Saccharomyces cerevisiae S288C: one gene and its partners. Changing the gene in region 2 together with the main gene of any one other region gives a genetic interaction. Each region holds a gene or a part of one and is shown on either strand. Other genes may lie near its edges.

What was found. Genes that interact genetically often act in the same process or in processes that back each other up.
Region 1: mutations in PXA2 (region 2) and ENO1 together harm fitness less than expected from each alone (positive genetic interaction), as found in Saccharomyces cerevisiae (one large-scale study listed by BioGRID).
Region 3: mutations in PXA2 (region 2) and COX20 together harm fitness more than expected from each alone (negative genetic interaction), as found in Saccharomyces cerevisiae (one large-scale study listed by BioGRID).

What each region holds. Positions count from the first base shown.
Region 1 is NC_001139.9:999,136-1,002,740, reverse strand, and holds ENO1 (phosphopyruvate hydratase ENO1), read right to left. Parts: upstream 1,815-3,605; coding exon 501-1,814; downstream 1-500. Other genes in the region: putative N,N-dimethylaniline monooxygenase COQ6, read left to right, coding at 1-218; PUP2 (proteasome core particle subunit alpha 5), read left to right, coding at 3,601-3,605.
Region 2 is NC_001143.9:85,112-91,220, reverse strand, and holds PXA2 (ATP-binding cassette long-chain fatty acid transporter PXA2), read left to right. Parts: upstream 1-2,434; coding exon 2,435-4,996; downstream 4,997-6,109. Other genes in the region: FAT3 (Fat3p), read left to right, coding at 1-1,937; HYM1 (Hym1p), read right to left, coding at 5,318-6,109.
Region 3 is NC_001136.10:925,793-928,578, forward strand, and holds COX20 (Cox20p), read right to left. Parts: upstream 1,119-2,786; coding exon 501-1,118; downstream 1-500. Other genes in the region: IVY1 (Ivy1p), read left to right, coding at 1-354; HEM1 (5-aminolevulinate synthase), read left to right, coding at 1,660-2,786. UniProt on the Saccharomyces cerevisiae protein: Involved in the assembly of the cytochrome oxidase complex. Required for the maturation and subsequent assembly of the mitochondrially encoded COX2, the precursor of subunit 2 of cytochrome oxidase.

The DNA of each region.
Region 1 (3,605 bases), on a different chromosome or scaffold from region 2:
GTTTAGACATTGGCTCTTCATTGAGCTTAGAACCCTTTTGGGCAGAAAGATATCCGTCGAACAACGTTCTATTAGGAATGGCGGATAAATTATTTAAATTATATCACACTAATTTTCCTCCTGTGGTAGCCCTAAGAACTTTTGGTTTGAATCTGACGAATAAGATCGGTCCAGTTAAGAATATGATCATTGACACATTAGGAGGAAATGAGAAATGAGAGGTATGTAAATAGAAATAGACTAGCTCCACTTTTAAGAATTATTTATGCAATTAAATACATGGGTGACCAAAAGAGCGGGCGGATACACGCGTCACCACAAGCAGAATAAAAGGTAAACCTGAAATTGTTTTAACATAAAATGAAAAATGCTTGTTTGCAACCCTATATAGAATCATAAAACATTCGTGACTATAAAATGAATAAACTAAACTATTCTAAGAAAATGAAATAAATGACAAAAAAACGTGTTTTTTGGACTAGAAGGCTTAATCAAAAGCTTTATAATTTGTCACCGTGGTGGAAGTTTTCACCAGCGAAAACAGCGTTGTCACCTAATTCTTCTTCGATTCTCAACAATTGGTTCAATTTAGCCAATCTTTCGGATCTAGCTGGAGCACCAGTCTTGATTTGACCAGTTCTCAAACCGACGACCAAGTCAGCAATGAAAGTGTCTTCAGTTTCACCAGATCTGTGGGAAACCATAACACCCCAACCGGCAGCGAAAGAGTCTTGAGCAGCCTTGATGGATTCAGACAAGGTACCGATTTGGTTGACCTTCAACAACAAAGCGTCGGCAGCCTTCTTTTCGATAGCGGTAGCAATTCTCTTTGGGTTGGTGACAGTCAAGTCATCAGCAACAATTTGAATACCAGCGGTCTTGAAGAAGTGAGACCAAGCTTCCCAGTCATCTTCAGCAAATGGATCTTCGATGGAGACAATTGGGTATCTCTTCATCAAGGAGTGGTACAAGTCAGCCAATTGAGGACCAGTCAACCACTTGGATTTGTCAGAGTTTGGATTCTTGAAGTCCAAGTCGTACTTACCGTCCTTGAAGAATTCAGAGGAAGCACAGTCCAAACCGATCTTGATCTTACCGTCGTGACCAGCAGCCTTGATAGCGTCAACAATCAAGTCCAAAGCTTCTTCAGCAGTTTGAATGTTTGGAGCAACACCACCTTCGTCACCGACGTTACCGGCAGAAGCACCGTATCTCTTCTTGGTCAAAGACTTCAAGTTGTGGTAAACTTCGGAACCAATTCTCAAAGCTTCAGCGAAGGTCTTAGCACCAGTTGGAGCAATCATAAATTCTTGCAAAGCCAAAGCACCACCAGCGTGGGAACCACCGTTCAAAACGTTCAAGAATGGAACTGGCAAAACGTATGGAGAGGTCTTGGACTTAGACAAGTCAGCCAAGTGCTTGTATAATGGGACATTCTTTTCAGCAGCGGCAGCTCTGGAAGCAGCCAAAGAAACACCCAAGATAGCGTTAGCACCCAACTTGGATTTGTTGGCAGTACCGTCCAAAGAAATCAAGAAGTCATCGACGGCCTTTTGGTCCTTAACATCAATGTTAGCCTTAACGAAAGCTGGAGCAATGACATCGTTGACGTTCTTAACAGCGTGCAAAACACCCTTACCCATCCACTTGGATTTGTCACCATCTCTCATTTCCAAAGCTTCGTGGACACCGGTAGAAGCACCAGATGGGACAATGGATCTGAAAACACCCTTTTCGGTGGTTAATTCGACTTCGACGGTTGGGTTACCACGGGAGTCGTAGACGGATCTAGCGTAAACTTTAGAGACAGCCATTTTGATTTAGTGTTTGTGTGTTGATAAGCAGTTGCTTGGTTTTTTATGAAAAATAGCTAGAAGGAATAAGGGATTACAAGAGAGATGTTACAAGAAAGAAGTAAAATAAATTTGATTAATATTGCCATTATCAAAAGCTATTTATATGTTGAAATCGTGGAGATCATGTGTGCCAGAAAAGGCCACAGTTTCCGGGGAGAGGCATACCTTGAGGTGGCTAGGAATCACGGAGACCTCTTGACTTGCAGGGTAGGCTAGCTAGAATTAAGTGAGGTGACAAGGTTTCCATACAGTTTTGACCTTGAGACGTTGCTACTTACGATTTGCAGTATGCAAGTCTCATGCTGCAAACAAAAGAGGACCGCTCAGGTAATCGCTCAATTAGTGGACGTTATCAGGGGCGGGAGAGGCGAAAGTGGTTTTTGGTGGTGTAAGTAAAGGTCGTCCAAATATGCAGGTGTTTGGGTGCTATCCTAGTGGAAGCTCGGATCAGTAGATAACCCGCCTAGAAGCGGTATTTTTCTTTTTTTTTCTTCCTTCTTTTTCGTCATTATTTCAAACGCTTTTGCGTCAAGTAATGAATATCTGGCGGTTCCGCGGTAATGCGACAATTTGTGATATGCACTCTTAAAACCCCGCCACGATGATCGCACGTGCCGGCATTTATAGACGACTTTTCTGGTTGTCCCGCTTCACGGCACATGCATGCATCAATGACCGAATTCAGGTTGCTACTAACCATTGTGTTGTGTTATTGCTGTGCATGAGGTGCTCAAGTGCCCGCGGCATCTGACTAGTGGTAACTCTAGACGGCTTCGATGCAGAGAGTTCCTCAAAATTTTTCTTTTCAATTGTTTGCCTGGTTTCCGCGGCGTATATCAGTTTTTGGCGATATGGTAACGCGATACTCTACGGCACCTTCACGGTAGATGTCTTTTTTAAAAGTGACTGTTAATTCCAGGATTGAAAGGAAGTGTCGAATAGTATAGTATGCTTTCTACACTTATAGTACACTACTAGGTGTATCAGATCAATTGGCCCTTGATAAAAAGCGCTGAGGAAGGAAGGATTCCTATTTTGACATAGCTTTCAATATAGGGCCATTTATATCCATGTTATATATACAATATACTTATGTGTCAATTATTAGAATTGTTGAAGACATTTGTAGGTGAGAAAGTTTCTTGTTTGTCGAGAAGAATTTGAGTCATAATCTTTATATCAAATAACTCTGGATAAGTGCTGTGCATTTCAATAACATGTTGTAATTACTATATATTAATGAAGATAAAAGCTCAGGTTCATCGCATGTGGCGCTATAATGCTTTTTATTTGATAATGTTCCACTTGTATTTTTTTTTTTTTTTAAAAAAATTATCTTTTTTTATAAAGTATGTGAGAAAGAAATAACAAAACATGAACTTTTTTCAAGAATAATGTAGCCCAAAAAGTAAAAAAGGACACTTTTGCAACTACTGCTGAAGACTTTTTACTGAAATGAATTGACTATCAAACATATTATAAGCCAAGCATAGATGAAAGTACGCCGATTTTTTATTAAGCGTGCAAACATGAATGTAGCCCAAGTCCGTAAGGATAATTTAGTGCTTAAATTAAATAAATCACTATTCACGAAAATATTTTTGAAATTTCATTATACAGGGTTATCATAAACCAAGACCGGTGGCAAAAGAGTAACCTAGGAAATTGGACAAGAGAGCGCTATAACTATAGAATACAAGTCAATAAGAACATAAATTCCAATTGTCTAATATAACTAGAAAGGATGTT
Region 2 (6,109 bases):
TATTGACGCTTTTGTCTAATGCTGACAACACCACAGTAACCATCGAATCATTGACCGAATTGGCTCCCTTAGCGATCAGCGGCAATCCTGCTTCTAGCACGAGGCAGTTGACAGAGATTAATGGGCTGCTGAAGTATTCAGACAACGCAACTGAAACACTAGATGGCCTCTCAAGGTTAGTTTCTGCTTCGCTGTCTTCCGCAAGCTCTAACTCTTCCAGTGACTCAACTACTTTGGTTCTGGACTTATTAAAAGACTCCGATAACCCACAGAATTCCACAGATGCATTGCTAACTCTGAATAATCTGACAATGTCAGAAAAGGCGCAATTGTTACCGGTATTCAGGCTATTCGCTTTCTCCACGAACCAAACAGCTACAATGACGGCTCTGGCGACCTTGATGAACACTACTATTTCATCTTCTTTAGCCCAAACACTATTAACTCAGTTACAAAACACAATTTCAAACGGAGGTTCCCTAAATAACACGTTTAGTACTTTGCAACCACTAGTGCCGCAGGCAAGCGCCCCCGCATTTGATGCAGTGGAATTGCTGCTAAACCAGACCACCTCTACAAATCAGACATTGAGCACTCTATCTGATTTGCTGGAACAAAACCTCACTCAGTCATCATCTGCAAAAAAGGCGTTTGCTGCCTTAACCCAATTGATGGAAAATTCGGACAACTCGACAATGGTTGTCACTTCGGTCCAATCTCTAGCTGCGGTGACAAATACAACTCAATCTACTCAACAGCTAATTGGATTAGATGATGTGATAAGCTCCTCGAGTAACACCAACGAAACTTTGTCCATCTTGTCCGAATTACAATCGGGCCTATCCGGTAATTCAAGCTCCGTACAGTACATTCCATATCTCTTCAGTCTTTTAGGGGCATCCACTGATCCTAAAACAACATTTTCATCTTTAGTGACGCTGACTTCCTGGGCTCAAGAAAACCCTCAGACCTTCTTGCCCATTTTAGATATATTAGCGGATGCCAAATCCGTCCAACCGATTTCCGCAGAAGAATTGAACGCCATGACGCCGAATATACTAGAGTATCTGAAAATTCCGATTTACTATCGCTTATCCATTTTCACGCTATGCCATGCTAACCTGGAAAACAAGATCCTAGATTGTAACTCCCCACATGCTGTACAAAACTTGGATTTTAGATCGATTATTTATGACGCATTAGTCACATCAGACTTCCAACCATATCTGAACGCCCTGAATATTAGCGCCAACGATCTTTACCTAGAAGGGAAACTTTTACACAGAGAGCACCAATATGTGCCAGCAGTGAGGTCTGTTTTGGCTTTGAACCTCTTAGCGATCATCTTTTCCTTCTTTACCATGATTTTTATTATATTACTGTACTTTAACAGATATATGTTCAAACAACCATTATGGCTCATTGCCCTAGCTCTACACGTTTGCGTTGGTGTAGCCACTGTATTGGCAGCCATTATCATATCCGTTATGATTGCCATTATAAAGAGCGGTACGGCAGATGATAAATATGGTGTTGTGTTTAAAGCCGGTCCCGCCTATACAGGGCTGATATGGACAGCATTTGCGTTGTCTTTTATCGCCACAGGATTGATAATTTATACGTGGTGGAGGAACAGACGGAGTGGTCGTTACATGTCCGGATCTGTGACGAATAGGAAAGGCGAAATTTACACGTATGGGGATGGTTCTGCCATTTCTGCAGACCGTTTCGGCGACCATAACTTGGGTGATGATGATGATGCTGATTTCGAAAAACAGGTGAATCGTAATGAAATAACCGCTATCGACAACAGTAGTTCTGCCAATAATACAGATGTCACAGGTAGTACGAGTAATAGAACAGAGCTAAGTCACCCCGACGTGACACCAAAAGATTCAAATGGACCTGTTAACAATAATGCACATTTGGTAGCATAATTTTTTTCTTTTTCGTAAATGCTCTATCACTTTTTTTCAATTGTACCAAACCATTTACAGCGTTATCTTAATCTCTTATATTGAATTATAGTACATACCACACCATCATCCTTATTTAATAGCTTTATTTAAATTTCAAAACAAAAATTAATAATAATTTGGTAATTATTCATATTTTTGGAATATATGCAATTAATGTTCTTTCGTCTTTGATGTATATTCCTTCGGCGTTAATTACAACTATCACCGTAAAGTTTTTACCACCCTCCGAAAGATTAAGGGCGGCAATGAAATGTGGAGTAAAGTGAATGTTAGATGATGATATTGATGGCTTTGCTCGATCAAAGATAATATTATATTTAAGTATCATCTTGTCCTCAATCCGGTACAAAACAAACGTCTTCAACATTGTTATCTGTATTTTGTTCGTCTTGAATATGGAAAAGACTCAAAAGGGATAATAATACAATTAAAAGTTACCGAAGAAAGATTTTATAATGATCTCAACAGCTTCTGCATTTTATCAGAAGCATAGAGTAAATTTACTGCGTTCTTCATACATAATATTGTTGCTAGCCACGCTTTACAATTCAAATTCCAGTTCTAGTAACAACAAAACTGATAAGAAGGATTCTGAGTCAACGGTTTTAGAAAATAAGAAAATTGAAGAGGGAAAAGAAACCGCAGTAGATAGAGAGGAAGATGAAAGTAGCAAAGAAGAGTTAACGATAGTCTCCAAACATAGCACAGATTCAGAAGATGGTGCAATAATAATTGATAAAGAAAGCAAGACTAATCATAAGGGGGGAGAGCGAAAAGGAAAGGTAGATTTTTTGTTCAAACTTTTGCTTCATGATAAGAAGTGCCTCATTTTATTTATTACACAGGCTATTCTTCTGAACATCAGAACATTGCTGTCTCTTCGTGTGGCTACTTTAGATGGTCAATTAGTGTCCACACTAGTAAGAGCTCAATACGCAAACTTCACAAAGATATTGTTGGGGAAATGGATGATCCTTGGAATTCCCGCCAGTTTTATTAATTCACTGATCAGTTACACGACAAAACTTTGTGCTGTCACTATTAATAGGAAAGTTTCAGACTTTCTACTCTCAAAGTATCTATCTAATCACCATACTTTCTATTCCGTAGCTTCTGCTGAATCTGTTTCAGAAATTCAGGATAATTTGACAAAAGATATTTACACATTTTCAATGAACTCGTCATTATTACTGAATCAGCTATTAAAGCCAATGCTGGATTTGATCCTCTGTTCATTCAAATTATTAACCTCAAACACTAGTGTTATGGGTGAAGGAACTTTGGCACTGGGCTTAATTGTCTACGCCTCCAATTCATTACTAAAATTGATTCAACCGAATTTCACTAGGTTAACTATGGCAAGCGCATCTTTGGAAAGTTGGTTCAGATCTTTACACTCGAATCTACATTCAAGCAATGAAGAAATTGCACTGCTAAGAGGGCAAAAGAGGGAACTAGAAAACGTTGATTATTCATTTTACCGTTTGGTGCTATTTTTAAACAGAGAAATAAAGGCAAGAGCTATTTATGATGTTGCTACTGCATTTGTCATTAAATATACTTGGGGCGCAGCTGGCTTGGTACTATGCTCGATTCCAATATTTTTCAAAAACAAACCTAGTGAAGACACCTTACAGCTTAAGGAACCCGGGAATGATATGACGGCTGATTTCATCACAAATAGAAGATTATTAGTCACTGCATCTAGCTCTATCGGAAGATTTGTGGAACTGAAGAGAAATATACAACAATTACGCGGTATCAGATTGAGATTGAACAAGTTCAATGATTTGTTGGATGCTAATAAAGGTGATGACGAAAAAGAACCAAGAGATGAAAGGTGTATAGTGGAATATGATGATTCAAGGATAAAGTTTGAAAATATTCCTTTAATAACACCTGCCAATCAAGTTCTAGTACCGGAGCTAAGTTTTGATCTGAAGCATGGAAATCATCTACTAATTATTGGGCCCAACGGTTGCGGTAAATCTTCATTATTTCGTATTCTAGGCGGGCTTTGGCCGATAAGGGCGACTCCCAATAAAAATCATCAATCCAAGTTAATAATGCCGCGTAGAACTGTGGATAGAGATTGCGCAATATTTTATTTACCCCAAAGGCCGTATATGGGCAATAGGTCGACATTCAGGGAACAGATTATTTATCCAGACAGTATTGAACAATTCAAAGAAAGATATCACAATGATTATGATCTAGGCGATGCAGATTTAATAAAAATTCTGCAATTATTAGATTTGGAGGATTTAGTCACTGAAAATATGTCACTTCTGCTGGCGCAAAGGACTTCCAAAAATGATTCACAGCAGTTGTCGACGGAAGACAATCAGTCACCATGCGCCATTAAAGTTCGTGATGCATTCAGTATAGTAAGAAATTGGTCCGAAGAATTAACAATTGGTGTCCAACAAAGGTTAGCTATGGCAAGGATGTACTATCATAAACCCAAGTTTGCTGTGCTCGACGAATGTACATCTGCAGTAGCCCCAGAAATGGAACAAAGGATGTACGAAAATGCGCAAAATTTTGGTATCTCGTTAATATCAGTTTGCCACAGGACAAGTTTATGGCATTTTCATAACTATCTGTTAAAATTTGATGGTAAAGGCGGATACCAATTTGGACCGTTTAACCCGAAGGAAAGGTTATGTAATGAAGAAAAACTTCTTGAACTAAATGCCATCTTGGATCAACAGGTGCCACTTTGGGAGCGGAAGTTGAAAGATCTGACAATTGCTAAAGAATCCAACATCATTCGTAAATCAGAAACTAACCTGAATCTTTTTGAAAAGATCGAAGATCCAAAAACGTCCAAATCTAATGCATTGTTTAATGCAAATAAAGGGCAGCGAATCACATCACCTACAGGGCAGGAGACTAGTAAGAGATTACCACTATTTTCCCAACCATCTAGTTCAGCATCATCAAATTTACTAAGAAACAATAAAAGCTTGAACAAAAAAGTTAAAACAAAAAAGGAAGAAGGAAAGGAGAGGTAACATACATAGCCAAAGGAGGATCCAAATCATGTATAAATTGGATAAATAAATTGTTTTATAATAATTTAATATCTTGAGAAAGCGCTCATATTTACGGTTGATTGCTCAATTCCATGTACCGGATCCAACTGTACTGGCTTCCTCAGCCTCCGGTACCAACCTTTTTTTGTATAAATACGTAAAAATACAAAAGTCTGAACTATTTTTCCCTTTTTATGCAAATAAACACTTTCCTATATATAATTTTACTTTTGAATATTCATGTCACGACCCACTGCCTGAGAACTTTCCATTTTTTATAAAGTGAACCAAGTTTTATAGTTATCTTGAATCAGGTGAAGTTGAATGTGTTAAGATGGATGATTGATTGTTCATTACTGATGATGGAGAAGTTATACTGGCGACGTTACTTGAGGATGCATTATTATTAGAAACTTCTGTTGTGGACGAAATTATACGCGGCAAGGAATCAATTTCTTGAACGATGAATTCTCTTTCATCAAGAAAAGTAGAATCCTGAGAATCTAAACCGAAAGTTTTAAAATACGTCAATAGTTTATCTCTGTTTTTAACAAGAATGTCAAAAACAGGTTTTGACTTCCTTGGGTTTGCTACCATCACCTTGAATACGTTGAAAGCTTCAAGTTGTAAGTTTTTAGATTTGTCAGTCATTAAAGTCATTATGAGCTTTAAGTTTTCTGGGGAGTTGATATATATATTCATCAACGCGTTGTTAGATCTTATCACAATTAATGAGGCCAACAGTTTAGTGCTCTGCCTTTTCGTTACGTAGCTTCCATGAGCCATTAACTTGTTAATACATTTAATGAATCTTATGATATTAATCTCATTACTGAAGAATTCCTTAGACACTAATTTAGGATGTGCAGTAAATGCGGCACTTAATATTTGTAAAGATTCCGTACTGATTTCGAAATTACCCAGTTTCGCAAACTCAAAGAATTTCCATAGTTGAGGGTCCTTTAATATAATCCTACAAAGTTGTTCGTATTTGATACATTCAATAATCATATTCCCTACCGTTAAAAAGATATCTTGGCAACCCTTTTGTTGTAGAGCAACTTCCGCAGTCCTCAACATTAAAGATATGGT
Region 3 (2,786 bases), on a different chromosome or scaffold from region 2:
GAGGAAACGGGTGGGAATGACGTGGTGCTCAATGAACTACTAGAAGGAACCAGCCAACCTTCCACATCAAAAACATCTTTACCCAAATCCAAGGGGTCCTCAACGGTATCCACACCGAATCATTCACAGTCAAGTTCAAACAAGGACGGGGTACGAAACAATGGCGGCGGCAAAAATGGCGAAGATGAGGATACAGACAATTTGATGGGAACAGAAAATTCATTTTCTTTACCGCCTACGAGAAACTCTGCCGAGGAAACCACACAAACGTTTAAACAATTGTCCATTAAAGAAGATAATGACAATCACAGCAGCGATACGGACGGCATGCAAGACCAGTCAAGTAATATATAAAATTTGTAACTCTATGTATGCTTTTTATATAGAAATGGAGAAAGTGAACAATTGAAGTTATAGTATTTTCGGAGAAATGTTGCATATATACATAGGAAAACGGTTAAAAGGCCCTGCTTCTACCTTCTGTTTCCCCCTCGTTCTTTTCACCAGAACTTGTACCATTTCTTCTCAGAGGAGGCCTGAGATAAATTCTGGTTACTTTGTTCAAACTGACTCTGCTTTTCATTTTTGGCGGCCTCCCATTGCCCCGGCAGAGATGGGTCATGAGGGACATTATGGAGCATTGGTTTTTCCTTTTTCGCCACGGTTTCCTTTGCCAATTGTGCGATCTGGAAACTTTTTTGTCTCTTTAGCCTACATTGCTCCCATCCGACAATCGAGCCCAGTATCAGAGAGCTCATCGCCCAATTCGTGGCCTTAGTCGGGCTCTTATGGTATATAAATATAATAGATCCCATCAAGAACATGCTGGAAAACCCGAGCATGCCCGCGTCTCTGAAGCACGGGATTGAAGTCAGCTTCTGCAAACTAAAATCACTCCATCTGATCGAGTCCCAAGCCTCTTTCAAAGTAGCCCGTTCTTGCTTCTTGGCCAACTGAGAATTGGACAAGTCATCGGCAAACTTGGGTGGAGTGTCTTCTAAGAGGATCTTTTGACCCCGCGAGTAATTTGTCAGCACGCGATCACCATCTGCTTTACCCTGCGGTTGTTGCTGCTGCTTTTGATCTTCTGTCTGATTTGACCACGGCCACCAACGCATCTTTATATTAACTGTTGAGCTGCTCGTTACGCACTGCTGTGGACTTCACTACAATGCTTTACCGAGCAGTGGAGTTTGATATAGTGGTGGTACCCCCGACGGTGCTATAATAAGCTTGCCTGCACGGCTTACCCTACCGCTCGGAAAGGCCGCCTTCGTCGCTCATTGGTCTGCGGCCGCGGGCGCTTTTTGGTCATTGTTCATATATGAAGAAAGAGCAGGAACGGAAATTTTTCATCTTGCCTTGCCCATTGTTCTGATCCATGCGTTGTTAGAAATACAACGTTTGCATCATACCAAACTTCTCCATTCCGTCAGCTGATACTCTATTCGGTTGTGTGTTGCACCCTGCTCTGCTGTCTCTCAACCGTTCTTCCTTTACACGCCTTCCCTTCTCAGCTCGCGTTTCTTTTTTTTTTATCCCACTCTTTTCTTTTTTCTTTCCTATATATTGCCCATATAAGTTTGGTTGGAAGGAAAACTAATAGAGCTAGTTGTTGTCCCTCAATAATCATAACAGTACTTAGGTTTTTTTTTCAGTATGCAACGCTCCATTTTTGCGAGGTTCGGTAACTCCTCTGCCGCTGTTTCCACACTGAATAGGCTGTCCACGACAGCCGCACCACATGCGAAAAATGGCTATGCCACCGCTACTGGTGCTGGTGCCGCTGCTGCCACTGCCACAGCGTCATCAACACATGCAGCAGCAGCAGCAGCCGCTGCTGCCAACCATTCCACCCAGGAGTCGGGTTTCGATTACGAAGGCCTGATAGATTCCGAACTGCAGAAGAAAAGACTTGACAAATCGTACAGATATTTCAACAATATCAACCGATTGGCCAAGGAGTTCCCCCTAGCTCATCGCCAGAGAGAGGCGGACAAGGTCACCGTTTGGTGTTCCAACGACTATTTAGCACTTTCCAAGCACCCTGAGGTATTGGACGCCATGCATAAAACTATCGACAAGTATGGTTGTGGTGCCGGTGGTACAAGAAACATTGCTGGCCATAACATCCCCACTTTGAATCTGGAAGCCGAATTGGCCACTTTACACAAGAAGGAAGGTGCCTTAGTTTTTTCGTCATGTTACGTAGCCAACGATGCCGTCTTATCCCTACTGGGTCAAAAGATGAAGGACTTGGTGATTTTCTCCGACGAACTCAACCATGCGTCCATGATTGTCGGTATTAAGCATGCTAACGTAAAAAAACACATTTTCAAACATAATGACTTGAACGAATTGGAACAACTGCTCCAGTCATACCCCAAATCCGTTCCTAAACTAATTGCTTTCGAATCAGTATATTCTATGGCCGGTTCAGTGGCCGACATAGAAAAAATTTGCGACTTGGCCGACAAATACGGTGCTTTGACCTTCTTGGATGAAGTACATGCGGTCGGCCTGTACGGCCCTCACGGTGCAGGTGTTGCAGAACATTGTGATTTTGAAAGTCACCGTGCAAGTGGTATTGCTACCCCAAAGACCAATGACAAGGGCGGCGCGAAGACTGTGATGGACCGTGTCGACATGATCACCGGCACTTTAGGTAAGTCTTTCGGTAGCGTAGGTGGCTACGTCGCAGCCTCTAGGAAATTGATCGATTGGTTCAGATCGTTTGCACCTGGTTTCATTTTCACCACGACTTTACCACCTTCAGTTATGGCAGG